Oryzias latipes: one gene and its partners. The protein of the gene in region 6 interacts with the protein of the main gene of each other region in a pairwise test. Links are inferred from orthologs where the notes say so. Each region holds a gene or a part of one and is shown on either strand. Other genes may lie near its edges.

The links.
Region 1: the proteins of txlna (region 6) and btf3l4 interact in binary tests that used the Homo sapiens proteins (3 or more experiments, as listed by UniProt). The two-hybrid records come from large-scale screens. The link is inferred for Oryzias latipes from reciprocal best matches to the Homo sapiens genes TXLNA and BTF3L4.
Region 2: the proteins of txlna (region 6) and cep44 interact in binary tests that used the Homo sapiens proteins (3 or more experiments, as listed by UniProt). The two-hybrid records come from large-scale screens. The link is inferred for Oryzias latipes from reciprocal best matches to the Homo sapiens genes TXLNA and CEP44.
Region 3: the proteins of txlna (region 6) and keratin, type I cytoskeletal 13 interact in binary tests that used the Homo sapiens proteins (3 or more experiments, as listed by UniProt). The two-hybrid records come from large-scale screens. The link is inferred for Oryzias latipes from reciprocal best matches to the Homo sapiens genes TXLNA and KRT15.
Region 4: the proteins of txlna (region 6) and rint1 interact in binary tests that used the Homo sapiens proteins (3 or more experiments, as listed by UniProt). The two-hybrid records come from large-scale screens. The link is inferred for Oryzias latipes from reciprocal best matches to the Homo sapiens genes TXLNA and RINT1.
Region 5: the proteins of txlna (region 6) and med4 interact in binary tests that used the Homo sapiens proteins (3 or more experiments, as listed by UniProt). The two-hybrid records come from large-scale screens. The link is inferred for Oryzias latipes from reciprocal best matches to the Homo sapiens genes TXLNA and MED4.
Region 7: the proteins of txlna (region 6) and dystrobrevin beta interact in binary tests that used the Homo sapiens proteins (3 or more experiments, as listed by UniProt). The two-hybrid records come from large-scale screens. The link is inferred for Oryzias latipes from reciprocal best matches to the Homo sapiens genes TXLNA and DTNB.

Annotation. Positions count from the first base shown.
Region 1 is NC_019875.2:4,321,099-4,325,322, reverse strand, and holds the start of btf3l4 (transcription factor BTF3 homolog 4), read right to left. Parts: upstream 2,801-4,224; 5' UTR 2,457-2,800; intron 1,754-2,456; 5' UTR 1,742-1,753; coding exon 1,688-1,741; intron 672-1,687; coding exon 558-671; intron 1-557. Other genes in the region: txndc12 (thioredoxin domain-containing protein 12), read left to right, coding at 3,066-3,165.
Region 2 is NC_019859.2:27,433,464-27,437,702, forward strand, and holds the start of cep44 (centrosomal protein of 44 kDa), read right to left. Parts: upstream 2,801-4,239; 5' UTR 2,646-2,800; intron 2,416-2,645; 5' UTR 2,407-2,415; coding exon 2,315-2,406; intron 1,396-2,314; coding exon of another isoform or gene 1,380-1,395; coding exon 1,232-1,379; intron 1,129-1,231; coding exon 991-1,128; intron 233-990; coding exon 158-232; intron 1-157. UniProt on the Homo sapiens protein: Centriole-enriched microtubule-binding protein involved in centriole biogenesis. In collaboration with CEP295 and POC1B, is required for the centriole-to-centrosome conversion by ensuring the formation of bona fide centriole wall.
Region 3 is NC_019859.2:29,293,824-29,297,915, reverse strand, and holds keratin, type I cytoskeletal 13, read right to left. Parts: upstream 2,801-4,092; 5' UTR 2,627-2,800; coding exon 2,216-2,626; intron 1,934-2,215; coding exon 1,851-1,933; intron 1,772-1,850; coding exon 1,615-1,771; intron 1,541-1,614; coding exon 1,379-1,540; intron 1,289-1,378; coding exon 1,163-1,288; intron 695-1,162; coding exon 474-694; coding exon of another isoform or gene 470-473; exon of another isoform or gene 464-469; intron 377-463; coding exon 373-376; 3' UTR 363-372; intron 280-362; 3' UTR 77-279; downstream 1-76.
Region 4 is NC_019881.2:11,288,139-11,292,244, reverse strand, and holds the start of rint1 (RAD50-interacting protein 1), read right to left. Parts: upstream 2,801-4,106; 5' UTR 2,763-2,800; coding exon 2,565-2,762; intron 1,107-2,564; coding exon 981-1,106; intron 1-980. UniProt on the Homo sapiens protein: Involved in regulation of membrane traffic between the Golgi and the endoplasmic reticulum (ER); the function is proposed to depend on its association in the NRZ complex which is believed to play a role in SNARE assembly at the ER.
Region 5 is NC_019879.2:14,006,626-14,010,632, reverse strand, and holds the start of med4 (mediator of RNA polymerase II transcription subunit 4), read left to right. Parts: upstream 1-1,207; 5' UTR 1,208-1,247; coding exon 1,248-1,321; intron 1,322-1,571; coding exon 1,572-1,638; intron 1,639-2,079; coding exon 2,080-2,250; intron 2,251-3,257; coding exon 3,258-3,315; intron 3,316-4,007. UniProt on the Homo sapiens protein: Component of the Mediator complex, a coactivator involved in the regulated transcription of nearly all RNA polymerase II-dependent genes.
Region 6 is NC_019869.2:26,641,672-26,645,171, forward strand, and holds the end of txlna (alpha-taxilin), read left to right. Parts: intron 1-810; coding exon 811-981; intron 982-1,045; coding exon 1,046-1,240; intron 1,241-1,323; coding exon 1,324-1,443; intron 1,444-1,528; coding exon 1,529-1,603; intron 1,604-1,674; coding exon 1,675-1,767; intron 1,768-1,840; coding exon 1,841-1,936; intron 1,937-2,044; coding exon 2,045-2,341; 3' UTR 2,342-3,304; downstream 3,305-3,500. UniProt on the Homo sapiens protein: May be involved in intracellular vesicle traffic and potentially in calcium-dependent exocytosis in neuroendocrine cells.
Region 7 is NC_019880.2:83,019-86,518, reverse strand, and holds part of dystrobrevin beta, read left to right. Parts: intron 1-1,429; coding exon 1,430-1,554; intron 1,555-2,365; coding exon 2,366-2,456; intron 2,457-2,958; coding exon 2,959-3,047; intron 3,048-3,500.

The DNA of each region.
Region 1 (4,224 bases), on a different chromosome or scaffold from region 6:
TGAAGATCCTGGTGACGAGGCCGTGCGAGTTCAGCTGGAAAATGTTCATAATGGGTTTGTGTCTGTCTATCATTCTGAAACGCGTAACAAAAAAGACATTTGCAGCATTTTTTTGTTTGCCAACTTCCTAGTGTTTCTATATTTACCGTATATTTTCATTTAAGTGTAAAAGTAGAGTACGTTTAACATTTTTATGATTTTAATATTAACATAATTCAAACTTCTATCTCAGATTTTGTTTTCTTGTGTGGATTTTTGGTCCAGTGTGTTAATACTGTACGACAAAATGACAAAACAAATAAAAATAAAGCCACAGAGCTGAGGTTGTTAAAGGAATTGAGGTCAAACAAAACAAAGTGAACCGTTTTGAAGGTTAAATTCTTAATAGTCAATGATCCTCTGGACTTTTTTGACGGGATTTGGACGTAACTGAACGCTGAGACTCTAATATCCGACGACAAACCGCCCCGACCGCCTGCAGCTTTGCTCCGCTTTGAAACCGGAGCTGGACTGATGAAAGGCGGCGGCGGCGGCTCGCTCTTCTCACTCAGGCTCACCTCCTCTATTCCTGCGATGTTGTTCACCGCCAGTTTCTTCAGAGAGCCCTGCAGTTTCTTGTCATCCGCCGTCGCCGTCTTGTGAACGACCTTTTTCTTCCTGCGAGCGGTTCCCTGAGGGACAAAAAAAAAAAAAACGGGTGTTTGTGGAAAGAAAAGAAAAAAACAGATGAGAGAGTCGACTGAACCCAAATGTCAGAAGCAATTAAACACCGGGTCACGCCGTGTATCTCGCGTTTCTGCTTGTAATTTATTCATTTCAAAGCAACGGCTGTGATCTTCTAACAGGCAAAAGCTCGTCGAATTAAAGCAACAGTACACTTATTTTATCATATTATATTTATATATTTAATTAATATATTTGATATTTAAAGTTCATGCAAGACCAAAGCGTCTTGCATGAACTTTCTATGATAAATCTTTCCTACAAATAATCTATAACTTACGTCAATCATGTGATGATCCCAAATAAATGATAATAGTAATAATCAACATTTAATATTAACTGTAGTATTTAATCTGGTTTAAACTAAGATATTTGTCTACAATTATGTTTTTAGCTTTGACCCTCAGATGCAAACTTGCAGAATTGATTTGTTTGTTTTGTCTGAATTCTATAAATGTGCTCTGTTGCTGTGAATAAAGGACTGATTTGGTTAACTCTGTGGCGTCTATTGACGCAAATGTGCACCAAACTACTTCAGTTCCAAAAGTACTTTAATTTAGCAAAACACAAGTGACTTTTCCCATAACTGGAAATAAATTCAGGCATCAATGGGTTAAAAAAAAAAACCACAACACTTAAATTGTTTTTTTGTTTTGGCTCAAACAAAATTATTAAAATTAACTTTATTCAACCCGGTAAGGAAATTAAGTTGTAGTAGCAGGATAAAATAAAAATGTAGGGATTATGTACATTTAGTTGGCTTTTAAGTGGTGGCACATAGCTGTGAACAAACCCACAGGGGCCTCAGATGAAGGGGCCAAAAACAGAAACAAAGAGAAAACGCTGAGGTCAGCAGCAGCGACCCCACAAATGCTGAAAAACCCGTTGCACTCCAAAATGAGCCACAGAGGAGACCATAACAGGAAAAAAACTCAACAGCAGAGAAAATGCTGGAAGCCATTACCTTTCCTCCTATTCGGACTTGGGCCTGAAGCTTGGCGAGCTTTTCCTGATTCATAGTGTTCTGGTTCTTCCAAAAGAAACACAACAAATGTCGTTATTCTCAGTCTGGATGTGCAGATATGGAGACAAGATTATGAGATCATCATCACTGTCAGGACAGTTTTTATTATTTGGCAAAATACAGTTAGCTATGAATCTTATGCAGTCACTTTAAATGACATCAGACATGTCTGATGTCATTTAAAAAAAAGTAGCTTAAACTCATAAGGATTTGTGTTTGAATTTAATGGATTTAACTTAATTTAAAAAAGTTCACATAACACCACGTCAACTCACAATCAATCCAAATATAAAGTAAATAAATTGGAATTTGGTGATCCGTCAAACAGTCTAACCCTGAGAGTTTTCCTACAGGCTCGCTGAAGGGGCTGCACGATCATGTGAAGCTAAACCACACCGAGTTATTAGGCAACAACCACCGTTATTCCGATTCTACCAGTAACAAACAATACAAATAGAACACCAGACGGCCGGGTCGTCTAGATTATCGATGCTGGAGACTGTTGTAAGGCGACTATCAAAAATAAAAGATGATTATTTTGAACACGAGTGGAGCTAATCGGGTTGCTAAAACGCCAGGCTATCTGAGCTAATGCTAGCATTGCAGCAAAGTAACGCTCCATCCAAAGTGGGTTCATGACTACACTGTTAGCTTACAGCTACTTTAGACCATTTAGATGTTTACAAGCAATGCAATGAATTCAATTTACCTGAGCACGAAGAAAATATGTAGGTTCCGTTGAACTTCTCTTGCTACAAAAGGAGCAGTGAGGCTTACAGAAGCATCGACGAGTTTACGGCATTAAGGAATCACTTCCGCTTTGAGTTTTCACAATAAAATCCTTAAGTGTTAAGATTCGGGAATCTTTTGAAGAATCGTTAAGTAATTGTACAATTATTTAGTGACAAAAGTAATACAAGTGCATATAGTTTTCTTAAAACAGCATACAGGCTAAACGATTGTGATGATTATTGCAGATTGGGGCTTTTAAATGCACGTTTCTGCTTTTGTTTCCTGTCTCCGGCCGACGTTTTGCTGTCTGCCTTGACTAATGGGGCACATCGGCGGAGCACGCGGTCGTGTGGATATGATGTCACGTGACCCAGGCCTCAAAATGGCAAGAGGAATCTGTCGACCAATAGGAAGCCACTCGCGCACATGCGCGTGCGCGTGTGTACGCAACGTTCGGCTTGAAAATCACCCTGCACGGGCTTTAATTTTGAAAAGCAGCCGTTGAACGTCCGGGTCGAAAGTTGTGAACCAGCACTGCCATTATATCACCCTGTAGCCGCAGACGTGAGGAAGAAAGCCGCGGAAAATGCAGCCGTCCTCGGTGAACATGGCCGCTTTCACGCTGCTGAAGGTCCTGGTGTGTCTGTGCGGGCTCCACGGTCTGGTGGACGGCGCCAGCGGCAGAGGTGAGTCCGACGGGGGCGCGCTTGCGGCGCAGACGCCGGGGAGTAGTAACGCCGTTCCCGCAAGAAGAGGAGAGCCACCTGTCTGTCTGTCTTTGTGCCCGCATCCTGAAGCGCTAAGCCCGCATCCTGTTGACTGCTTCACGCGCTGCTTCCTTCTTAGACTTCACAAGTTGTTCTTCTGCTGGTTCAAAGATCTCACCGTTTGCCCAGTGTTTGTGTTCATTTTTATCCAAAATAATCATAGTAAAAGTTGGTGATCTGAATGGATTTCAGGGAATGTCAGTAAAATTTTTGAAGGACTTTATGCATGAACTGTAACGAACTTAACACTTCTTCTTCAGTGCTTTTGTTGTGCATTTACTGAACTTGTGTGCACATGATGATGATTTGGTCCAAAGATGTTTTGGAAACAGCCAAACTGATGCAGAACAGGATGCATCCTGTGGTTTATGTGTGTGTAAATGAAACTGGGCTCAAATATGAACCACACTAACAGGGAATTCAGCGCCTTTAGTGATGCTGAGCAGGTTGCAGAACTTAACAAGGTAGGTAGGTGTAAAATAAGGAAATAATGAAAGCTCCACTTTAAAGAAAGTTGTGTCTTTACAGCTGCTTTCAAACAAGACAGAATAACATGATAAACATTATGCTGATGGGAATAGAAAAAGCTAAAAAAAAAAAAAGGACTGAATTTGTTATCGGGTCACAGCGTGCTCTTTATCCCGTGGACCTTGAGCTTGGAGTAAACAGTTGATGCTGAAAGGATTCAGACGATAAATTCAGTGAGCTTTTCTCTAAATGGGATTATCTTTCGCTGCTGACATTGTTTGAAAATGTGAAGACAGTCTGACCTCAGGCTGGCCTCGCCTTAGATGCATGTTTAAAATAAATAAAAGTCAAAGTCGTCTGCTAAGGAAACAGATATTTCCTGCTGAGCTGGTGATGGCATCCTGAAGGAAAACAAAGTGGGTTGAGATGGAAAATGTGCTCATTTGTACCAAGTATGTAATCTTAGAAAACAAGTGAAATGACAGGAGTGAACGCTCAGCTAGTATCTGA
Region 2 (4,239 bases), on a different chromosome or scaffold from region 6:
GAATTTTCAAAAGGTAGGGAAGAGTTGCTTTAACATACAATCAAGTATTTTAAGACTTTTTTGCCAAAGTGAAAAAATACTACTGCAAATGCTAAGTTGCATATAACCTTTAAGAACAGCACTTATTAATTGTTCGTGTCAGTTGACTTTGCCTTACACTGGGAGGATCAGGGTTTACTGTATGACCTTCCACTCCAACATCACTGTGTGAGACAGGGCGTCTGACTTTGGGCTGCAAAAGACACACAAGGAGATTAAAAGTCCTTTAAACTTGCATGACAGTTGTGTTTTTAACATGTTAGTGCAGCATTTTCTGATGATGGAGGACGTGTATGAAGAAAAAAAGCTTAAATTAGCATTTTCTGAGTATTTCTTCAGGAACAGACAAAAAAATGCTGTTGGCAAAAGCTTGTAGTTGTTACAAAGAAACTACAATCAGTGGGCCACAAGTTCCCTGCTCTGCTCTATTTCTAAAACTCAACTTAGAAATTCATTTGAATTTCTAGTGAACTTCTGCCGCTCTGCAGAAATTATGTCCTAGAAAAATGACAGGTTTCTTCTTTTTTGGGGGGGCTAAAAATGGCAAAATCATCATTAAAAGACTGCTGGGGACACTTAGAAAATAGATCAAAAGATGATCAGAGTGAGTCGTAAAGGTGGCATGTAAAAAAGAAAACAAATCAAACAGCCAAACAACTCATTTCTAGAACTTGATCAGACATCACTATTTGTTTTCCCCAAGACAAATAAGAAACATTATAAACATTCCGGAATAACTGTAAAGCCACCAAATCTACAAATATACTGCTTGACAGTAAATATAATTGCAGTAGTGTTCGAAGAGTTGCAAAGAGATGAACTATTACCTGAACCAAAAAAATGATCTGCTGTAAAAACAGATTTTTAAATGTCATCAAAGACGGATATGTTTATAATTATTATGACAGAAACGTACAACTCAACATCAAATGAATACAAGAGCCCACACACCTTTTTTAATTGGCCGTGTTTTTGCAGCACCAAGTTAATGATGTCACAAATGAAAGAAATTTTCCTTTGAGAAAAACCCAACTGGAAGAACTGCTGTTTGGAGAGTACGGGCTTGTAGTGGAAAACATCCCGGAGCAACTAAAACACAAAACAGTCGAGATAAAGAGGCAGGAAGAGCCCCATCACAGAGGTAGAGGCCGGTCCGTTTGATGAAGAGTCGTTGGTATATTCCTGAACGTACCTTGTAAAGAGTATCTGTGAAACGGAGGTCTGTTTTCCCAATCAGTTCAAATCCAGCTGTCATGAGCAGCTCAGCAAAAGGTGGAGAGAAGGTGGTGAGGGTGAAGCTCGCGATTGGCAAAAAAGCTGAAGGATCTCCTTTGGAAAGCCTGGAAAAAATTACAACTTTTTTTGTTTTTATTCAAGTTTGCTGCCATTATAATAAAATGTATTTTCTGTTTTCTAGATCAACCTGTATTTATTAGAATTGTATCTTTCTGAATACCAGAAAAAATATATTTTTCAATCAAAAATGTTTTTAATCCACAAAAACTATAATAGCCAGAGCCCCACACCTTTGCACTTTTGGTATCATTAGAAAGCCCCAAATGTTCTCTGTAGATACAAAAATGAACTTAAGTCCCACTTCAATTATCTTTTGGTCTGTTTTAAGTGTTTCTCAGATCAGAGGTCCTTTAATTATGATTATGCCGCTATAAGCCCAAATAAAAAAACAAGTCCCATTTTCTAGGACAGACGTAGCTTCTGCAGAGCAGCAGTAGCTCATTAGAAATTCTCCACTGAGTTGTAGACAGGACATTTGGGGCAAAGAAAGTCCACCCCACTACCCGTCGCCCATCTGATTACTCGTTCTTCTGCTGGCTTACACCCCCTCACACCCTCAACCTAACATTAGTAGTGCCATAATGATGGCAAGCATTTCAGAGCTATCCAGCCGCACAGTTTTGAGCCAGATGCCAGCTAAAGGAAAACAAAGATGTATGTGGATCTAGTAGTGGATTAATCAGAATGGAGGGAACACAGGATATTTTCTGTCACTAATACAATCTTTTTCAAAGGGCTTTTTTTTGTCTGCTCATACCACTTAAATAAAAACATACTAAGAAATGCAATTTTGAGTATGATTTTCTATATATTTTTCCTCCATCATCCGAAAAATGCCACAATAACATGTTAAAAACAGCATTTTCAGTGGAGTGGGTCTTTAATTCAGCAGCATGCAGTGGTTGGGAGGCATTCAGGATTAGAAATGACCTATAGAGGACACATTTACATGACATAATTGTGGCACTTGAAGCCTTACTTGTTATAATCGACATCCTCTGGGTATTTGATCACTCGTAAAAGGCTTTCCAGTTTACGAAGACCACTCTGCACATCTCCAGTGGAAATCATGGTGAACTGCTAAACAAAGGAAGGATAGGAGGGGGTACTTCAAAAAGAATATAAACTAAATTATTACAACATTATGCATATAAACAATGCAGACGGAATGCAACAAAAATTGTAAAATTAGCTAAACTAGCAAGCAAGTACCAACACACAATCTGAGCTCGAATTTGATGATGATAACTTCGTCGATCCGGATAAAACTGTGACGTATCGTTCAAAAGATAAAATGCGGTTTGTTCTACCTGTAAGCAAAAGGAAAGCAGCGCTTCAAACGCACAAAAAAGAGCAGAAAAACAACATTAGTTCGCTTCTGTCGCCGCCCTTTGATTTGTTTTTACCGCCGTGTCGAAATGATGACGTAAACTTACTGCTCCAACCCATACGCTAAAGAAAACTTTATTTAAAAGAACACGTAAACCCACACGTTTTAAAAAAACTTTATTTGAAAGAACAAACCCCAAACACCCCGGTGCTGACTGTGACCATTGACTTACTGTACGGTCTATACCTGTGACCGAAGGGGGGCCATTTGCTGCTTGTTTGTAGCTTAGGGTATTGTATGTTTTGGAAGTTTACTGTGATCAGATCGTTAACTTTTTTCAAGACGTTGTTCTATTTCCCTTTGAGAATTAGGATGTTAACACTGCAACAGCCAGTGGTTGTCAACAACAACTTGTGACTTAGTCCTAGCTCTGGCTGTGCCGTTTGAGCATTTTAGGGTTGGGTAGATTTAGAAAGGTCCAGCACAGACTTTAGTGTACATGTTTAAACATTTAGTACTGAAGTGCTCTGTGATTTAAATAGAATTTGTCCCTAAAATGTGCACTTTAATCTGTAGTTACAACAACTTGAAGGCTTAAATTACTACACACAATTGTTTTGAGTGTGAGAACATGATTGTGTCACAGGTCTGCCAGCACAAGATCTTACAGTTCTGCCCCATGAGCACTTGCAATGTTAGACTTTAAAAACAAGTTTATTTTTTCTCATCACTGTTTTTATTGTGACAGAGCATTCAATTTAAATATTTTTTTCTTTAAGTATCACAACCCTTAGCAAAAGGTAGTCTGTTAAAGTGTGGGACAAAAATACTTAGTTTATGCTAAAAGTAGAAACTAAGTTTGCTTTCTATATACTATCTATGTATTGTAAACGTAAAATGTTTCAATTTAATCTGAAGAAATATTCAGTTAGTGTACTTCCTACACTATGTACATGGTTGACAGTATACTTGCTATATTTACACTCAAGTATTCTTAATGAAATTAACTTAAGAAGGGATTGCAAAATCTTGCTGAAGGGAAAAGAATGGAATTGGAATGTTTAACTGCAAAAGAAAACGTTTGCTACGCAGTTACACCTTGTCTTAACTCAACTTTAGCATTTGAAAACAGAAAAGGAAACTTTAAAGAAAACTTCATAAACAAGTTCTTCAAATTTTACCATTGGAATAATGTGTCTGATGACAGAAAACAATGTTTCACCTGTTGGGAAGGGGCGCAAGGTAAGAAGGCTAAACAGCCACAGCTAGCAGTAGATGGGGGATTGGTTCATCTTTATAATTTTTCTTTAACTCTGTGTTGCAAATGCTCAAATTAGTTAGCTGTAAAAGTTGCAAAATAAAGATAATGCATTGATATCACTGAGGGCTCTGATAACTTACTGTCAACAACAAAGGTGGGAAGTATCCTTGCATTTTTATTTTTCCTGAATTTAAGTGAGGTAAGGATAAATAAATAAGGTGGAAACTGAGTTTTCTGATTTTTTAAATAATAGGCAATTCTTTAAGTACTTGAGGTAATGATTGATCCCAGATCAATTGGTGTTCTCTTTGAA
Region 3 (4,092 bases), on a different chromosome or scaffold from region 6:
CCACACAAACAAAGTGAGGTCATGGAAAAAGAATTGGAAGTCGTGGGAGAACAGTGAAGTTAGAACAACACAGGTCTTATCTTCACCAGCAGGTTTATTTTCTTTGGCAGATCACACAAACATGAACACACACACAGCGCCGCACATCAGCTCTTCTTCTCATGACAGCAGATGTTGGGAAAACGAGCCTTTTGGTCTCCTCTGGTTTCTGGCCTGCATGTTGGACTTCTTGGCTGGACGTGGGCACAGTGGTGGTTGTGAATGTGTCATTGAAGCCTCCTGTTAAGAGGCAGGGAGGAAACTGGTTGAGCACAATTCTTCAAGTTCCTCCTGTGAACTTTTCCTCAAATAAACCAACTTACCTGCAGTCATTTATCTAAAAGGAGAGAAGAAGAGATGACAAAGATGAGTCAAAGAGGATCAAATCATGTATTTCTACTTGAACGTTTGTGATTGTGTGCACCTTTGTCTATCTGGCCTCCTCAGTCTCCAGCAGTCTCCTGTAGGTTGCGATCTCCTGCTCCAGCCTGGTCTTGATGTCCAGCAGCATCTTGTACTCCTGGCCCTGGTGCTCAATGCTGCCGCGCACTTGGCCTAGTTCGCATTCAAGCATGTTGATTGTGTTCTGGTAGCCGCTAAGCATGGCGCTGAACCGGCCCTCTGTCTCTGCCAACGTGTTTTCAAGAGCACCTTTCTGTTGGGGTAAAGAAAAGCTGTGGATCACTGATCCTGCAGCTGCGCTCAGCGCGCCCCACCCTGGATGCAGTATGTCACTCGGTTTGTTTGCTTTGCATTTTCTCCTGTTTTGTAAGAGAACAAAGAGAGCTGGCTCTGAAGGTAAGTGTCCCTTTGCCTCTCCTCCTCAGTGACACAATGGCAGTGGGAGGCTCCTGCTGAATGACTGACTGCAGCTGGGCACCCAAACCCCAACCAGAAACAGCCTCTCATTCCTCCAGCTTTTTTATGACTTCCAGAGTTCAGGCAGATGTCTGTGAAATGTTTCCCAGAACAAAGTGTCTCCCTCCCACCTTCCATCCTCCCTTCATTCCTTAAGGATTGCCTCTCTTTCCCATCCTCCCCTTCGCTCCTCGCCCTCTGTTCTGGGCGATCTGGGGATTTTGGTCATATAAGGAAAGATTTTAAAACAAACGTTTGTCTTTACCATGCTGAGCTGGGACTGCAGCTCGATCTCCAGGCCCTGGAGTGTGCGCCTCAGGTCATTGATCTCTGTCTTGGATGTCTGGATTACTTCTGTGCTAACGGCCACCTCTTTGCTGAGAGCTGATGACTAGAATTTAGAAAAGAAGACAGAGTGAGAGGTCTGTATGATTATACGTGTGATGACAGGTTGGCCTGCTGACAGAGGAACTCCTGTTACCTTCTCAGTGAACCAGGCTTCTTGGTCGCGGCGGTGTTTGTCTGTGATGGCCTCATACTGTGCACGGATCTCCTCCATGACTTTGTTCAGGTCCTGCTGAGGTGCAGCGTCCACCTCCACGTTGACTGTGCCCGTGAGCTGAGAGCGCATGGCTGCCAGTTCCTGCAAACATCAGGGGACGTCAGCATTGGTGTCTGTTTGCAGAGACTATAAAAACCAGGTGTCACATCACTGACCTCCTCGTGGTTCTTCTTCAGGTAGGCCAGCTCATCCTGCAGACCTTCGATCTGCATTTCCAGGTCAGCCTTTGTCAAGGTGGTCTGGTCCAGCAGGCGGCGGAGGTTAGCGATGTCAGCCTCAACTGACTGTCGCATCATGAGCTCGTGCTCAAACCTGGTAAGTTAGGAAGAGGCCTGATGTTAGACAACTGCCCGCTAGAGCCTGCATGAAGGCCCTCTGAATCAGTGCTTACTTGGTTTTGAAGTCATCAGCAGCCAGTTTGGAGTTGTCGATCTGCAGCAGGATGTTGGCATTTTGGACGGTGGCACCGTTGATCTGCAGCGGGGATGGGGTTAGTTAGTGTCAGGCATGTGCAGAGCGGCACGCTTTGATGACTGTTTACACAACTTCAGATGTTTCTGTTACATCAACTGAATTGTGTCCTTAGGGCACGTTTGACTTCCTCCTGTTAAGCTGTCATGCTGAATATTTGTGGTTCATTTGTGGAATCTTTCAGCCGCAAAGAAAACACAGATATGTTCACTTTAAAAAAGTGTTGTCTGGAAATCATTGACAGGAACGGCAAACATTTGCAGGTGGCAGAGGCACAGACCATACCTTGTCTTTCAGGTCATTGATGATGGCCCAGTAGTTGCTGTAGTCCCTCTGTGCTGCCGGGCCCTTCTGCTCATAGTACTCTTTGATCTGCTTCTCCAGCTTGGCATTGGCCGCCTCCAGACTGCGAACCTTGTCCAGGTAGGAAGCCAGACGGTCGTTCAGGTTCTGCATGGTGGCCTTTTCGTTCAGGTGCACGGAGCTCTGGTCCATGGCGTTGGACAGGTCAAACCCTCCACCCATTCCAAAGGAAGAGGAGACGGTACGCCCGGTGGCAGATGAGATGCGGGAGCCTCCCATGAAGCTGAGACCGGACACGCTGTGAGCTTTGTGGGGAGCAGCGCTTGAAGTGTAGCTGCGGCTCTGCCTGGTGATGGTGAGCCCAGGACCGCTGGCGATGCTCCTGTTGTACATGGCGGCTGACTTTCTGCTTGTCAGAGGAGAAGACGAGGAGACGAGTGTTTCACAGCTGTGGACTGTTGCAGGACTGTGGAGTTTGATGGAGGGAGGACGGCCGTTAAAATAGCTTTGAATGTGGGGCGGGCTCTGAACGTGGGGAGGAGGAGGAAGTTTCTGCAGTCAAGGCTCAGGCTGTGCAAAACCGTCATTTGTTTTCTTTTAAGCTCTGGGATTTGGTTATTTTCCACCCCTGTGAGGAAAGTGGTGAGGAATGTGAGCAGATCAGAGGAGAATCTTCATGGGCACCCTGATGATTCCTTGTAGAATGTGAGCACAAGCAACTGTAACGTGTGCTCAGAAATACCTGCAGGTATTGTCCTGATCATGCCAGTCACTTGGCAGCTCAGTGCGAGAAAAGGAAGGGTAGATTTATTGTTTTGTTGCCCCTCCGTTAGTCAATAGTCAGTGTGAGCGGCATGTTTCATCCTGATAATATCCACAGTTACGGTTTAAACCTCCCAGGTGTATTATTTCACTTTGTTTGTCCAGCTGAGTTTAAATGCGTTCTGATAGTCTGAGCAGTCAGAGGCCCTCTCAGGAATTCTTTAGGAGCCAGGATGGATTCTTGTTATCAGCTCTGTTTAAATTCAATCATTTTGTCTGTATGTGGTCAGAGCTCACATAGCCGACTGGATACTTGCAGGCTTTGCAGCCTCGAACCACAAACATGTGATGTTATCCACACATTATCATTCACCCCCCTTCATTGTTCAGGAAATCACACAACATCCCGTCTCACATGTGTTGGTCTTGACCTGATGTGTGTTAGTGTGTGGAGCTTATCTCAGCCTGGTTCTTTGCACAGAAACATCTGGCATCGGCTGCGGGGGGAGGGCTGCCTCGTCAGGAAGAAGTGAAGTCATTCTCCTTTGGAGCTGCCAGCAAAGTTTGCTGCTCAACTCCCCCCAAAGCTGCACACACTTGCATGGAGACAAACCGTTGTTTGTGCGATGGCCTCACTTTGAGAAGAAAAACAATCTGGTTTGTGCTCCGAGGATCAGAGATCTGTTCCATCCATGCTGCTGTACTTTTAACGCTGGAGGAGGTGGGTCCAATCCCGCCCAAGTCCTCTACTCCAAAGGAAGAAAAGTCATTCCATGATCGATTTAGATTTCTCTTTGGTTCATTCACTGCATTTTATTGATTGATAAAGCAGATGATGACATTTCCATTGTTGATAGGATTCTGTGTCTTCTTCTGAACACAGCGACTCCTGCATTTTTCTTATGGATTCTCAAGTGATTGTTTGTATGTTATAGATAGAGGATCGACGTTCAATTACGTTTTTAGGTTTTTCATTTAAGGAAGCAACATATTAAATCCAGGATCTGCAACAATAGGAGCCTCCACATTTGACCACTTTGTCTATAAACCAAAGAGGACCAGATTTGGTGAGACGAAAATGTTTGAGGGCCAACCAT
Region 4 (4,106 bases), on a different chromosome or scaffold from region 6:
TTCTTTTACTTTGGCTTCTCCCATCAGGGGTTGCCACAGTGAAACAACCCTCCCTTGAGGAAGGTCACATGGTTAACTTGGCAATGTTTTTATGCCGGATGCCCTTCCTGACGCAACCCCTCTCAATCCAACTGGGCTTGGGACCGGCACAGCAGCAGAGAGGGGAATAGGGAGCGGCCTGGATTTGAACCCTGGTTTCACGGACGGAAGGTGCCGCAACCCAGCACGAGCTAAACCGGCCCCCATTTGACCCCATTTAAAATGCACGAACATTATTAAATGGAATAACACTTGGAAAAGCTTTTATTACTCTCAGCAGAGAAACTTAAGATTTGTATTTAATTTCATAAAACACGTCTGAAAGCATAAGAAATTGGTTTAAATAAGGAAAAAGATTTAATTTGAAAAATTTCCTTTTAAGTCTCACTCTGATCATCTTTTGATCTGATTTCAAAGCGTTCCCAGTGGTCTTTTAATGATGATGATGCCGTTTTTAGCCGAAATCTAAAAAAGACTCGTTTTCTAGGACATACTTTCTGTAGAGTAGCAGGAGTTCACCAGAAATTCATCTCTGAGTTGTTGGGGGGACTGTTAGTTGAAAACAACCCCGCCCCTCTTCTCTTCCAATTACATAGAGCTTGAGCAGGGAGCTTCTGGCGTATTTTCTACGTCACAAGTAGGATTTTTTTCAAACAGCATCTTTTCCTCTGCTCCTGATTCACAACGACTTAAACATTATAAATACTCAGAAATGTACTTTTAATGTTCATTTTCATTAATATAGGTCCTTCGTTATCAGAAGAATTCTACAAGAACATGTTAAAACACCAAAAATACTATTTTCATTGGTGTGGGTCTTTAAGGAGTTCATTGAAGTAAGAAGCTGATCGTTGACCTTTGCAGGAATACTCAGAGGCGCTTTGTGGTTCCGACAGCTGCAGTCCGAGTCTCCTCCTGAGATGGGGGGGCTGTGGACCTACCTGCTGCAGCTTGCTGGAGATGAGCTCCTCTCTCTGCAGCAGCTCCTTCAGGCTGCAGCCGGCCTCCTCTGCAGCAGACAGAGCAGCAGAGACCTTCGGCGGCACGGAGCTGCTCACGGTCAGGACCTGCAGCACACAAGCATGTTCCTCTGGTCATGATGCTCTGAAGAAACAAATGCAGACCCTCACAGATGTCCTCCTGCACACTAACAGTTCATCTGTTATGTAAGCGACTTGACGAGTTGCTGGCTCTGGTAAATTAAACTGAGGAATAAAGTATGTCAATGTAGAGTTAACAGGAAGATCTCATACATGTTTTGGATAACACAGAAAAGTGCTCCTACTGATCAATCAGAGCACTCTAGACCTGATGTTTAAGTTCTTTTAATTGGATTTAATTATAATGAATACCCCTTGTTGGTGTAAAAGTAAAGGTTGGAAGTTTGTTATGATACAAAACTTCAGAAAGTCACTATTTTAGTTGTATTTTGATCTTTTTCTGTCGTCATAAATTTAAATGAAAATACCTCAAAATGAGGCTTTTCACAGACATGATTAGGGTTTGGTTGAAAACAGATTAACTAATTACAGGTCATAGTTAATAACATGCTTCATAGCTCAATTGTCCCTAGGTGTGTGGTGAATGGGTGTGTGATTGTGGCCCTGCGACAGACTGGCGAACAGTCCAGGGTGTACCCTGCCATCGCCCGCAAGTGGCTGGGATAGACTCCGAAAGGAACAAAACGGTAGAAAATGAATCAATGAATGAACAATAGCCAGAATAGAGCCATAAAACGCGTCATGAACCAGTTTCCCAGAAGAGAACTTCCTGTCAGACTCCCTCCAACAGTGTGAACACGTTTCATCTGCTCTGAGGAACAAAACACAGCTGGAAGTCACTTTGGCTTTAGCCTTTTCCTGGACGTTCAGAGGCTGATGCATCCTCCTTGCAGAGGTCTCCTCAGCTCCTCCAAAGAGACAGCCTGAGGACACGACCATCGACTCCACTGACAGGACCTCCTCCTCATTTAAGGTGTCTCCACGGCAACCCTGCCACCAAACTCTCCCTTCCACAAACCGATCTCTTCTGCTCAAAGAGGACAGCATCACTGACCCCTTATGTTTTAGATTCACACGGTTAGATTAAAAAACATTTTATATTTTAAAACCAGTTTTATTTGATAATAAAAACGGCTGTTTTAAACTAAAGTCAGACTTTAACCAATAAAACCACGAATTCTTACTTTAAAAACAGAAAAGCAGTTTTAACCCACGAAAATACAATTATATAGTTTAAAGGAAAAAATAGAATTTAAAAAAAGTTCTTCATGAACCATCTTCTTCCTCTGACATCTGCAGGCCATTAGATGGAACCACGCATGCGCGCTTCCGTACCTGATTTCAGGTGAACTCATCATCCGCTTCTGTTTAACTATCAATGTCTTTGTCATTAGAGCTGACAGCTCTGAAACCGTCCAAGAGTGTGCTGCTCAAAGGCTGGAGGCAGCGGGTGTTCGGCTCTCACAGAACCAGGTCCACAGCTGCTCTACCCGAGCTGTTTACAAACAGACCGGCGGCGCTCACCTGCTCCCCCAGGGCGACGTTCTCCTCCTTCAGCCTCTCCAGCAGCCCCTCAACGCCGCGCAGACTCTTCAGCTCCCCGGCCTCCCGCTGCAGGACCTCCAGGCCGAGGTCCCGGAGGCTCCCCGGGGCTTCGGGCAAAACCTCACCGGGAGGGTTTGGGGGGAAACCCGGACTCGGGGACAGCTCTGCAGCCGCCATGCTGCTGCGACGTAGCCTTCAGTTCTTCTTCGAGTCTCACCGAGGCTGCAGCCATTCGTCTGAAAAAGCTCGTCAGTGCCCCCTGCCGCCCAGACCTCAATCCTGCAGCCATGTGTCGAACTACTGTTATTCAAATACTGAGTGTCAGTTATTTAAAACTAATTATATTCATATTTATGCACACATATATGTGTGTATGTGCGTGCCTGTGTGTGTGTTGGGTAAATACCTACCATGTATCATAATTTGAATTTTCTTTGTTTCTCTTTATTTGTTTGTTCTTAACTCTACTCTGTTATCTTTTTTTTATTTCTGTTATAAATCTAAAAGGAGGAACCCCTCAAAAACAATTATATTGCATCCCATTGCTTATTAAATGTTTAAATAAATTAAAGAATGAAAATAAATGTTTATTCACTTTGTTTTCAAAAGATTATCAGAAACGTATTAAAATTTTAATATTAATGGATTTGTATACAAATTTGAAGGTGAAAAAGTATAATTCTACAAGCTACAGGATTGTCTCAGCAGTTAGATGAGTTAATTCAAACAACATCTGTAATTAAGTTAATTGATTATTTAAATGAGGAATGTGGAGGTGTGTATGCTCTTTGATTTTGCATTTACTTGATTCTTTATATTCATGTGTGTTTGGCAATAACTCTTGTGCTCGCTTGCTGTAAACTGAACAAGTGCTGAACTCAGCACAATGTTGTCTGTTTTCTTGTCTGCACTGAGTGGATTTCCGACTAGAGATGCAGACGTGATCGTCGTTGACTGGCAGGAAAATATCTGCATGCTTGCACGCACAGACACAGCTTCTAATGACGTATTTTACATCTTTAAATATTTTATAGTTTGGGGAAGTCCCCTCAGCTTACGGTAGTTTTGAACTGTGGTTTGTTGGTGTTGAACGTGCAGAACGTTTTGGTCTGCAAATGCATCATTACAAAAACTGATATCTCTCAGTTCATCCAGATCTGAGGCTGTAGCTTTGATTTCTCTGTTCGTCTGTTCGGTAGCTGGAATGAGATGGACTAGACTCAGAAAGTCCTGAAGCAGCTCTGGGAACAGAGCAATATGCATTCTTTGTTGCAGTTTAGCAGTGGTCCAAAGTGATCAAGTCTCTGGTGGGACCAGTCACGCGCTGTCTATATTTAGGTATTTCAACTTTAAGATTTGCTCTGTGTGATTTGGAGTGTGGTCTTATAACTCATCCATTTATTATGTCTTATTGAAATTGCTTTGTCTCAGATATGAATTGGAATGTAGTTTGAATAGTCCCTCAGAAATGTCTAAAAATAATAAGGTAAAAGAGTTCAAAATGTACCTGGAAAAGAAATA
Region 5 (4,007 bases), on a different chromosome or scaffold from region 6:
GGGGGGGGGTCTTTTAAAAAGTGACTTCTTTCTGAATCACCTTATTTTCAGACCAGCCTTGTCTTTGTGAACATTAGGTTTCAAATGAGAAACAACTACACAGATATGCTGACCTGAAGATTATTCACAACCACAAAAACAGAAGTATTTTTTTAAAAAACGTTTTAAATTAAAAAAAAAAAACAGTAATGAAGCCTCTAAAATTTTTAAAAGCTTTCACTTGGATATTTTGGGGGAAATGTTCATTCTTGAAGACAAACATATATGGTTCAAATTCCTATGAAGTCAGTATGCAGTTTTCAGATGCAATGGCAAAAATGCATTTCATTTCCATCTTTGAATCCCTCTTATTTTGACAATCAGGAAGTGGCCTGGTTGCAAAAAAGCTTCACTATTATCTCACTGTTGGCAGCCTCAACAAAACAAACTTGCTTTGGATGTGTGTGTTCATGCTGAGTCAAAGTCAGAGAAACTTAGACTACCAAATAGTTCCTTAGCACAGCTATAGTGCACTGCTACCCAGGGGATGGGTCAATGCACACAAATAATGAGATTTTATCCTGAATTTAACATTAACACTTTGACCCATAACAAAATAATAATAAAATAAATAAAAAATCAGGAAGTCAGAGTAATCTTAGTATTAATAAACATTGTTGCAATATGTTGCCTAGTTTTGTCTTTGCTTTTTGTATTGTATCAGAACAACTTTTATCATGGAAAATACATTCTTAAAAAAATGTATGCAAAGAGATAAATAGGCAAATAAACGTACTACATATTTAGTTCAAGAGAAAAAGTTGCTTTTAAATCGTTTACGTAAATTACTAATTACTAAAATATTGTAATAATTCCTTTTTTTTACCCTGTAGACATTTTACATCCTTTATGCACTAAAATAACTGCAGCTTGTCCAGTATTTTTAAAATAGTAATCATTGTTTAGATCATTTTGCAAAAACTTTAGAACACAGACTGAAATAACTTTTGCAAAATTTGGCTGTTTTCATCAACATTTTACATCTGTTTATTTAGTAATTTAAGTAAAACAATTTACAAAAAATATTATTACTTTTCTATGAATTATTATTATCCGTGGTTCCAAAAATAATTTAAGATTTTCCTCCTTGGAATAGGCAAAACGTACTTTTTAGCATGATATTCCTTTTGCCACCACTAGGTGACAGTAACTTACAATTTGAGGTAAAGTCTTTATTACGTCATATCCTTTCTGCTTTAGAAACAGGTATGGCGGCGGCAGCAGAGAAGTCAACAAAAGAGCGGCTACTTTCTGTGTTGGATGATTTGGAGGTGTTATCGCGGTAAAGGAAACAGCTCATATTTTGTTTTCCGTGTTGTAGTTAGGTAGCGACACAGTAGGCGGGTTTACGGCTTGGTCTGCACAGTCCTGATTCGAGTCCAGAAGTCCAGTGGAGAGTAAAGGCTCATGAGGCTTAGTTCACGCTTTGAAATTAAAGCCCCCCCCCCGGGGGGGCTTTAAATGGCCTCCGTTGTGCCGCGTACTCCACAGCTCCTCGTGCTGAATCCTCCATGTCTGCTCTTCTGTTTCAGGGAGCTGATCGAGATGCTGGCTCTGGCCAGAAACCAGAAAGTTCCTCAGCCAGGAGAGGACACACAGGTGAAGGACACAACTTTTTTATTCTAGTTCAACACTCCAAAAGAGCCACTCCAAAGAAAATTGTGTTTTTAAAATGTTCTTGTGGCATTTTAAAGATGGTAAAAGACATTTACAAAAAAAAGTATGCTTAAATTGTATTTCTGATTATTTCTTTAGTTAAATAGTTGTCATCAGGAGCAGATCATCTAAAAACATGAAAACAACAGGCTTGGCCTCAGCCATCAGGGCGGCCTCTCTCTTGATATTCCAGCATTTATTTGGATATGGCCATGTTTAAAAAAAATGAAGAAAAAAAACATTTCATGTTTTGGGTTTGAGCTGTGCAGCACTGTCACCTCTAGCCATTTGAAATGATGCTGGTCTCCATGGAAGCAAAGGCCACAGTCGACGTCTGATCAGTGCTGCTTCTTGTGTTTATTGGAGAGCCTGTTTTGTCTTCAGATCCTGGAGCTTCTGGTGCAGAGGGACAAGGAATTCCAAGAGCTGATGGAGGTGGCCCAGCAGCAGGGAAAGATTCATCAGGAGATGCAACTGTTGGAAAAGGAAGTGGAGAAGAGAGACAGTGACATCCAGCAGCTGCAGAAACAGCTGAAGGAGGCAGAGCACATCCTGGTGGGTTGAGGTTGTGTGTATTTTTGCTTCATCTGATACTGCTGTAAGGTGATGTAGTTACATTCACAGGTGCATTAGCAGAAATCCTCATTCTTCTAGCACATAGGCAGATTAAGCCAGTCTAATGCATTCTCCATATAGGCTGCTGTAAGCAGATCTATGGCTGTGCTGGCTTTAGCATTTGTTGAGTAAAAGTATAAAAACTCTAAAAGGCTAAATATCTTTTGCTGTAAAAAATTAACTCAATGTGTTGTAAATCTGGCAGTTTACTACAACTGTAAAAAAAAAAAAAAAAACCTGTGACAAATAATTTTTTTTGTAACATATATGTTGAGAGCTAAGTCAATTAAATAATATAGTTCAAAGTAATCTAAAGATTGCTTAGTCATCTGGGTCATTACAAATTTCACCACTGTCTGAAAGTGTAACAGTTTAAAGCAGTGCTTTTCAAATAGTGGGGTGCGCCCCCCCGATGCGATGCCGGGGGGGGGGGCGCGCTATAGTGGCGGTTTTAGGCACAGGTTATACAGACAATTGTCCGGTGCTCATATTTAACGTGGGGGCGGTGATGACAGCGGCTCAGTGCTTGGGGAAAAAATCTGCGCCTCTATTCGGTTCCTATTGTCTGTAAAATCACAGAGTTTGTGACAACCTGAAACCTGTGAATTCCTGTCCCTGTAGCTGCGCGCTCCCGTCTCCTGTCACACGCGGCTGCGTGTGTGAGAACGAAAGGGGAGGGGTAGTGGGCTCAGTCTGCCAGGTGAAACGGGGCACGCGGAGAACTGCAAGCCCTGTTGCCCAACACTAGGATCATCCCATGCCTTTTGAGGACTCAGCTAATGCTAATAATGTCATTCTTTATCAACTATTGTAGACATTTTGATGATGCTTCTTTTCCAGCACCTAAAACAGAAAGGTGTAGGAATGACGGGGTCACTGGATCCAGATCTAAGATCACACTTGGAAAGCAGCTTCTGTCAATCTAAACTGACTTTTTCTCCTTCAAGGCCACTGCAGTTTACCAGGCCAAGGAGAAACTTGCTTCCATTGAAAAGGCTAAGAAAGGTGAGCAAACACACTTGTCTTTCAGTCTGTGGATTTGGATGTATCATTTTGTGTCTGGTAACATCCAGATACTCAAGCAGCTGTGTGACTTCAGCGTTGACACTCAAAGATTTTAGTTTAAGGTTTTCGTTAAAGAATTCATTCCTTCTTCCATTTTAGGTAGCATCTTCATCTCTGCCAAAAAAAATAATTACTCTCTTGTGCCATCTTTTTGTATCGACTCAAGATTTGGCATAAAAAAACATTGGTTCTCATTAAATGACCTATATCATGCAAAATCAATTTTATTTTTAGCTTTTTATGTATTATATTTGTTAATTCCTCTTGAAAAACGACCCCAGAAGAGTATTTTGATCCTTTAATGCATTTCTGAGTTTTCCTCTAAAAACCTGCTCTCTGAGCACCAGCCCCTCCCAATCCCCAAAAACAGGCGGGTTTTCATATTGCAACAAAAATGAGCTGCTAAGAAAACCGGTATTTCATTTAAAAATTGATGGGGCGGCAGGTGCTTATGCAGGTGCTTAGGCAGTTTAGCAGATCGTCCAATGGTCGAAGAGTCGGCGGTTTGATCCCTGGTCCCACCACTCAACTGTCGTTGTGTCCTTGGGCAAGACACTTCACCCTCCTTGCCTCCAGTGCAGCTCCACTGCTGTGTGAATGTGTATGAATGTCCTGGTGATGGTCAGAGGGAC
Region 6 (3,500 bases):
GCACCTCGTCCATGTGGCTGGATGTGTTTGTCGGTGATCTTTTCGCTGCAATAGGAGCAGAAGATGAACAGCTTTTCATTGTTATTCACTACTGCCCCACTGTAGTCGTTGCCCTGATGGAAAGATGACGGCGTTTCATAAAACGAAAGCACCACGATGGGCCTCCATGAAAATGTTCAATTTTCATCTCTGCCTTCAGTGGAATGGTGACTGTAGAGACACTTAGTCCATCGCTCCAGTCACTCTTCCAACTTGGGCCGCCACGCCTTGTTTCCACGGAAACTCAGCTGTGTCATCTTGATTGTTGGAGTTTGTTTTCCAGCTTCCTCCACTTGTGAACCATGGATTCATTCATCTTAAATTCTCTGCAGCTGCTCGATTCCCATGTTCCTCTGTGTAGCTGATAGCTTGCAGTTTAACTGTGCTTCATTATTGTGTCTCTGTGCAGCATATTCAGGCTTTCCAAACAATGTTGTTCTGCTTAGTGCACATACCTGCACTTTAGTACTATTTGGGGGGTGTCTTCTTTCACGTCCTCACTTCTTTCCTCACCGTTGTCATGCTGTCCTCTCCTACGTCCTCTTTACCAAAGTCACACAACAACACATGAGACGCACCGCACCATAGGGCGCTCCGTACATTTTGGAGAAAATATAAGACTTTTAAGTGTGCCTTATGGTCATGATGATACGGTGTGGTTTTTTCTAGTCTGTCAGCATCATGGCCTGAAGTCGCCTCAGTTCCAAAATGTCGGTCTTTCCAGCACAGTGGAACAGTCCGTGTGATGACCGAAACCTGTCTGTTTTCCAGCTGGAAGAACACCGGAACACCCAAAAACAGATGCGAGTCCTGCAGAAGAAGCAGAGCCAGCTGGTCCAGGACAAGGACAACCTGAGGAACGAGCACAGCAAGGCCATCCTGGCCCGCAGCAAGCTGGAGAGCCTGTGCCGGGAGCTGCAGAGACACAACCGCACCCTGAAGGTGAGGAGCCCACAGCGCTGTGATGCTGCTGAGCAGCCAGCTGGAACAGTGACTGTCTCTGCAGGAAGAGGGCATACAGAGAACCCGGCTGGAGGAGGAGAAGAGGAAGGAGGTGACGTCTCATTTCCAGGTGACGCTGAACGACATCCAGGCTCAGATGGAGCAGCACAACGAGAGAAACGCCAGCCTGCGGCAGGAGAACGCAGAGCTGGCCGAGAAGCTCAAGAAACTCTACGAGCAGTACAAGCTGAGGGAAGAGGTAAGTCCTGGTCCTGCCCCGCGGGGTTCAGTCTGCTGTCAGTCAGGGAGGCTTCATTTCCAACTGTGCCCTCCCCCAACCAGCACATAGACAAAGTGGTGAAGCACAAAGACCTGCAGCAGCAGCTGGTGGACGCAAAGCTGCACCAGGCGCAGGAGCTGCTGAAGGAGTCTGAGGAGCGGCACGAGAGGGAGAAGGACTTCGTAAGGATGTTTTTTACCCAAACACCCCAGAGTGCTGTTCACGGGGTCCTGGGACACAAATGTTATTTGGTTTTTCCCCGGACAGCTGCTGAAGGAAGCCATCGAGTCCCAGAGGATGTGTGAGCTGATGAAACAGCAGGAGGTTCACCTCAAGCAGCAGGTTGTCCTCCTTCTCCCCCCTCAGCTCCGTGTCTTCTCTGCTTTCCCTGAATCTTTTCTTTCTCTTCTCAGCTGTCGCTGTACACGGAGAAGTTTGAGGAGTTTCAGACCACGCTGTCCAAGAGCAATGAAGTCTTCACCACCTTCAAGCAGGAGATGGAGAAGGTGAGGCCCTGGAGGCTCCGCCCACTCTTGAAATGTGGCTCAAGCTGCTCCAGCAACACTTTTCTGTGTTCAGATGACCAAAAAGATCAAGAAGCTGGAGAAGGAGACGGCCATGTACCGCTCCAGATGGGAGAGCAGCAACAAGGCTCTGCTGGAGATGGCTGAGGAGGTGAGCTGCTGTCTGTGCTTCTCCAAAGAAGACGTGCTGTCTGGAAAAGCCCCCAAAACACATGCCGTGTGTGTGTGTGCGTGTGTGTGTGCGTGTGCATGCATGCAGAAGTCGCTGCGGGATCGAGACTTCGAGGCGCTGCAGCTCAAAGTCCAGCGGCTGGAGAAGCTGCGGCGAGCGCTGAAGGTGGAGCGAAACGAGCTAAACAAGAAGGTCCAGGGCCTGTGTGGGGAGCCATCCAGCGCCACGGGGGCTCCAGGCGCCGACCCGGGGACCGACTCCCCGTCCCCACCCCCCACAGACTCTCTGCTGGAGCCCGCCTCCTGCTCCCGCCCCTGCCAGTGTGAGCCGGAGCCCAACGCCCCCCTCCAAGAAGCAAGCGCTGCTGCCCTGGCTCAGGAATGAAGCCTCGGGCTCCTGCAGCAGCAGCAGCCCCCCCCCCCACAGCTGCTGCTCCTCCTTCACACGCCGCTGGAAGAAACGGGACAGACGGAGCAGAACGGCCGGCGGGTCCAACAGGTGTCCGTCTCTGCAGACCGCTTCTCCAAAGCACTTCAAATGTTGCAATAATCCCATTTCCTGCAATAATCTGATTTCCACCTCTTGCTGGTTGTCACTTCTGCCGCGTTCTGATGTTGTAGTCTGCGGCGTGGAAGGGCGGTCCTGCAGCGCGTCAGCCGCAGTGTGGGACGTAGTTTAGCGTCAGACCCAGTCTCAACAGAGACTAACTGGTCTTTAGGCAGCAGTGTTCTGGGTCAGGGGGAGTGATGAAGGCCGTTTCCCACAGACTCATCTCAACCTCTGCTGGGGGCCGCGGGGCTTCACCCCTGCTGGGGGGGCGTTGGGGCTTCACCCCTGCTGGGGGCCGCGGGGCTTCACCCCTGCTGGGGGCCGCGGGGCTTCTGGCTGAAGTCAGACTCTGGGATTGTCTCCTGGTCCGCAGAAGCTCAGATCAGGTTTTAGCAGAAGAATGTTCCGGCACTTCTATGCAACGCTCGCTTCCTGCTGTCGTGTGCGGCGGTCTGAAGCACTTTGACGAGAATGTAATTCTGTTTCCCGGTTGGATCTCTGTTGACTTTAAGGGAATGTTTGGCGTCTGCCATGATTTTAAAAATGTTCACAGCCGAACGGAAAATAGAGAAACTTCAGATTCTTTTGGACTTTTTTCTCCAACCCTTTCTTTTTTCTTTTTAAACTTTTTTCTGCTTCTTTGTTAAAATGATGAATACTAAAATTCAAAAGCTAAAGTTCATTTCCTCTGTTGTGCCCCGGTTTATTGGTCTGAAGGAACCAAAGATCCTCCCCCCGTCTGTTTTTGTCTGCTCCTGGATGTTTCCTGCTGAATAAAACTCTAATGTGTTGAGGAGACTCTTGGGTTCTTTTACTCACTATGTCAAACATTTGATCACCTCTACAAAAAGGATGCAAAACTTAAACGAAATATTGAAAATGAACGAAAAAAATGTATTTTAAAATTGAAGAAACACTGAAAATTAAAATAAAAAAACAGTAAAACTTATCAAATGGAAAAAAGTATTGAACAACTGCTGTTTTGTTTTTTGAA
Region 7 (3,500 bases), on a different chromosome or scaffold from region 6:
GAGTCAGTCCGACAAACTGACGGGTTGTGTTTTTACGTCTGTAACACTTTTGCTAATAAACATCTCAGACCAAACTCTGGTTTTTCACAGGAAAAACCTGCAGAATCTCAGACCGACTGATAGTTTTTGACACACCAAAACAATCTAAGTTGGTTGCCACGGTGATGTTTTCTGACAGACTCATAATTTTATGATCATGTATGATTGGAGTGGGGGCATAGATCATCTCCAGAAGTCAAACTTTTGATTCCAACTTTTCCTGAAGCAAAGGTCTAAGCCTTAGACCTTTGTGTTCTTTAAAGGATGATACCGCGGCCGCGTGTGGGAGGAGCTACTGGTTCTGGTCTGATCGCTGCATGGAGCGATGTGTGCATCAATGCATGGTAGACACTGAGAATGTGGAGAGATCAGGTTTATTATTTTGAAGAGTTCTACTTGGTAATCATGTTTCCATGTTTGAGTTCATAAAATCATCCCAGAGAAAGTCTCTGTTTCAACTCCTGCAGGGAAAGCTGCGTCTCAATCTGACGCCCGTGTTTGCATCTCTGACAGAGTTTGAAGCCAAAGCCTCTTTACCTGCTTTTCCTCTCTACCTGTTCACCTGTTCACATCCTCTGCTGCTGAGAGTTGTTTCCCCCGCGCTCCTCAGTCTGTCCTACACAGAGAGCACAAAATACGGTCATCATAGGTTGACACGGTAGTCGGGGCGCTCCAGCGCAGCACAAGGATGAAAGAGCCGGACGCAGGTCATAGCGGGGAGAGAGCGGGTTAAGCAAATGAATGGAAGAAGGCGGCCCGCTGAAGAAATATTCAATATTGTACACATTTTATTATTAGTCTGAACTATCTTTTATTTAAAAAAATCTTTTATTTTATCAGTCCAGTACGAAAAAAAACATCAACAAAAGCTGTGTTGGGCGGTTTTTGGCTGGGTCTGGCGGTTTTCAGATGACTTTTGGGCTGGAAAACTGTGACTGTATCTGGCAACACTGGCGCAAACTCTCTGTCATCAGAAAGTTGGTCTCTGCTCCGCGGCACGTCAAGTTCCCGGCAGAAGACCACTCCGGACAACCAGAGTGTTTATTGAAGCCGCCCCGCGTGCCTCCTCCTGCTATCAGCTCTGCAGGTCTCGCCCGATAAATACGAGCTCATTAAGGAAGCTGTTTTTGACGTGGCACTCGCTTCGTACGGAGCCATCAGCGCCTTTGAAATGCCATGAAAAATGAACAAACTAAAATAAAATTTAATTATTATAAAATACTCATTATTTTCCAAAGTCACAGGGAGCCACAACAGATGGATGAAAGAGCCACATGTGGCTCCGGAGCCATGGGTTGCCGACCCCTGGTCTAAGGATTCTGAAAATCAACTTCTCCAGGGCGGTCTGGAAGCTTGACCTGATTGTGATCTGTCTTGCCCCCTCCCACAGAAGTCCCCAGCCAAAAAGCTGAGCCATGCTATCAGTAAATCTCTGGGCTGCGTCCCCATAGGAGAACCCCCCCACCCCATGTTCCCCGAGCAGGCAGAGAGACCATTAGAACCCCCCCACACTGTGTAAGTATGTCATCAGCTATCATCACACAGCAGGTATGTTCCCGCCCCCACCCACTCATTCTCATGGTAGATGGTTGTAGCATGTCGTTCTTGTCGAGCCACTGCCGTCAAACCTTACAGCTACGACGAAGCTTAGACCGCGTTCGCTTACAACCGGCATTTCTGAAGTTTAGAGAAATTCCAGGACAAAGTTACAGGAACCAGAGACCAAAAAGGGTCCAAGGACAGGAGGAGTCGTCCAGGAGGTCATGACAGAAGATCAGACCTCACTGGACTCAGGTCAGGTCAAAGGTCATGATCCAACAGTCAGAAAGAGACTTTAGGACAAACATGGATCCATGAGAGACGCTGCTGAGGAACAGGAACATCTGGAGGTTCCACTGGACCTCTGGACTGATGTTCTAATCAGACACAAGACGAACTTTCTGGAACATCTCATATTTGGCTGATCGTCTAAATAATGGATGAGGCCTCATCAATCCTGCCTCCGATCTTATAAACCATCGTGTTTATGGGATGAATTATGTCAGCAACTGGAGAAGATGATGGTCTTTGATTTATTTTTCTTCATGACATCTCAGTTTTCTGGTTTGTAGAACAAAGCATGTTATTTCTTCTCTTGGTTCTTTAGTCATTCGGTTGTTTGTAAGAATGAAACATTAAAGAGTCGTGGAAATGTTCATCCAAACAGACTCTGAATGAAGAAGAGAGTAGTGTTTATTTTATTTGATCTGTCCAACATTTTGCTTCTCTTCCATGAAGTGATCTGGGAAGTTGGGATCCGGAATAATCTGAGTTTGATCTCCTACAGGATCCTGGAAAGTCCCAGTCGTCTGGATGAAGAGCACCGGCTCATTGCGCGATACGCTGCCCGGCTGGCAGCTGAAGCAGGGAACTCTGCGGTCAGTTTTGGGATTCACTTCTGTTAGTTTGTTTTTAGGATTTAAACTCAACGTTTGCAGAAATCCTCAGTACTTGAATTTATCTAACAGTTTATGTTCGTAATCATCTGATCAGAGTCAAGATATCACCTTATTGGTGGCCCCTTCACCTCTGTTTTCATTTCTAGTCTGTACAGATGGAGAAACCATAGATTTGAGTTTAGTTCAGAAAACCAGTTTCTGTCTGCGCTGCTGGTAAAAAGGTAAAAAGGTAAATGATAAAATGGTAAATAGGAAAAGGTTGAATAGTAAATGACATGTACTTGTACAGTAGAGCGTTTTTCTACCTTCCTTGTAAGTCCAAAGCACTTTACACTCCCATTCATCCACACATTCACACACTGGTATCCTCAAGTCAGAAAATATCGACCAAAAAAGCTTTTTTTCAGCCTGGTTTCTGTGTTCAGGACTGTGTTGTTTCATCTGCTCAGCAGTGTGAACTCGGTTGTCTTTGTCTCTCCAGCAGCAGTGTCCACCTGCAGACCTGGGCTTTAACTTTGATGCTAGCAAACAGCAGAGGCAGCTGATCGCTGAGCTGGAGAACAAAAACAGGTAAAATCTGTACCTTCATGCGCAAACCAAAAAGGACCAAGGCCCCCCAGCTCAGCTGTCACATAAGGCTGAGGTGGGGGGCCTGTGGTTGTGGCTTACGGACATAACAACAGTACGGAGCACCTGGTCTATTTGGAGTCTCTAAATTGGAGACCAGAAAGTGTTCTAAAGGAAACCCAGAGGTTCTAATGGGAGACTTCAGTTCCCAAGAGAAGAACCGCTGATTCCTGAAAGGTGTGATCGAGAAGACTAGCCTCACGGATCTAAACCTGAAAGGTGATTCGTTATCAGACGTCTGTTTCAGAACGGCCATAACGATAGTGAAGCAGATTATTAGGTTAGGTTAGGTTAGGTTAGCAGAGGTCACAACCACATGCTAACCACACGATAACCACATGCAAGCCATGCCTTAACCACGCGCCAACTACATGTAACACTACGAGTTAGCCTGTT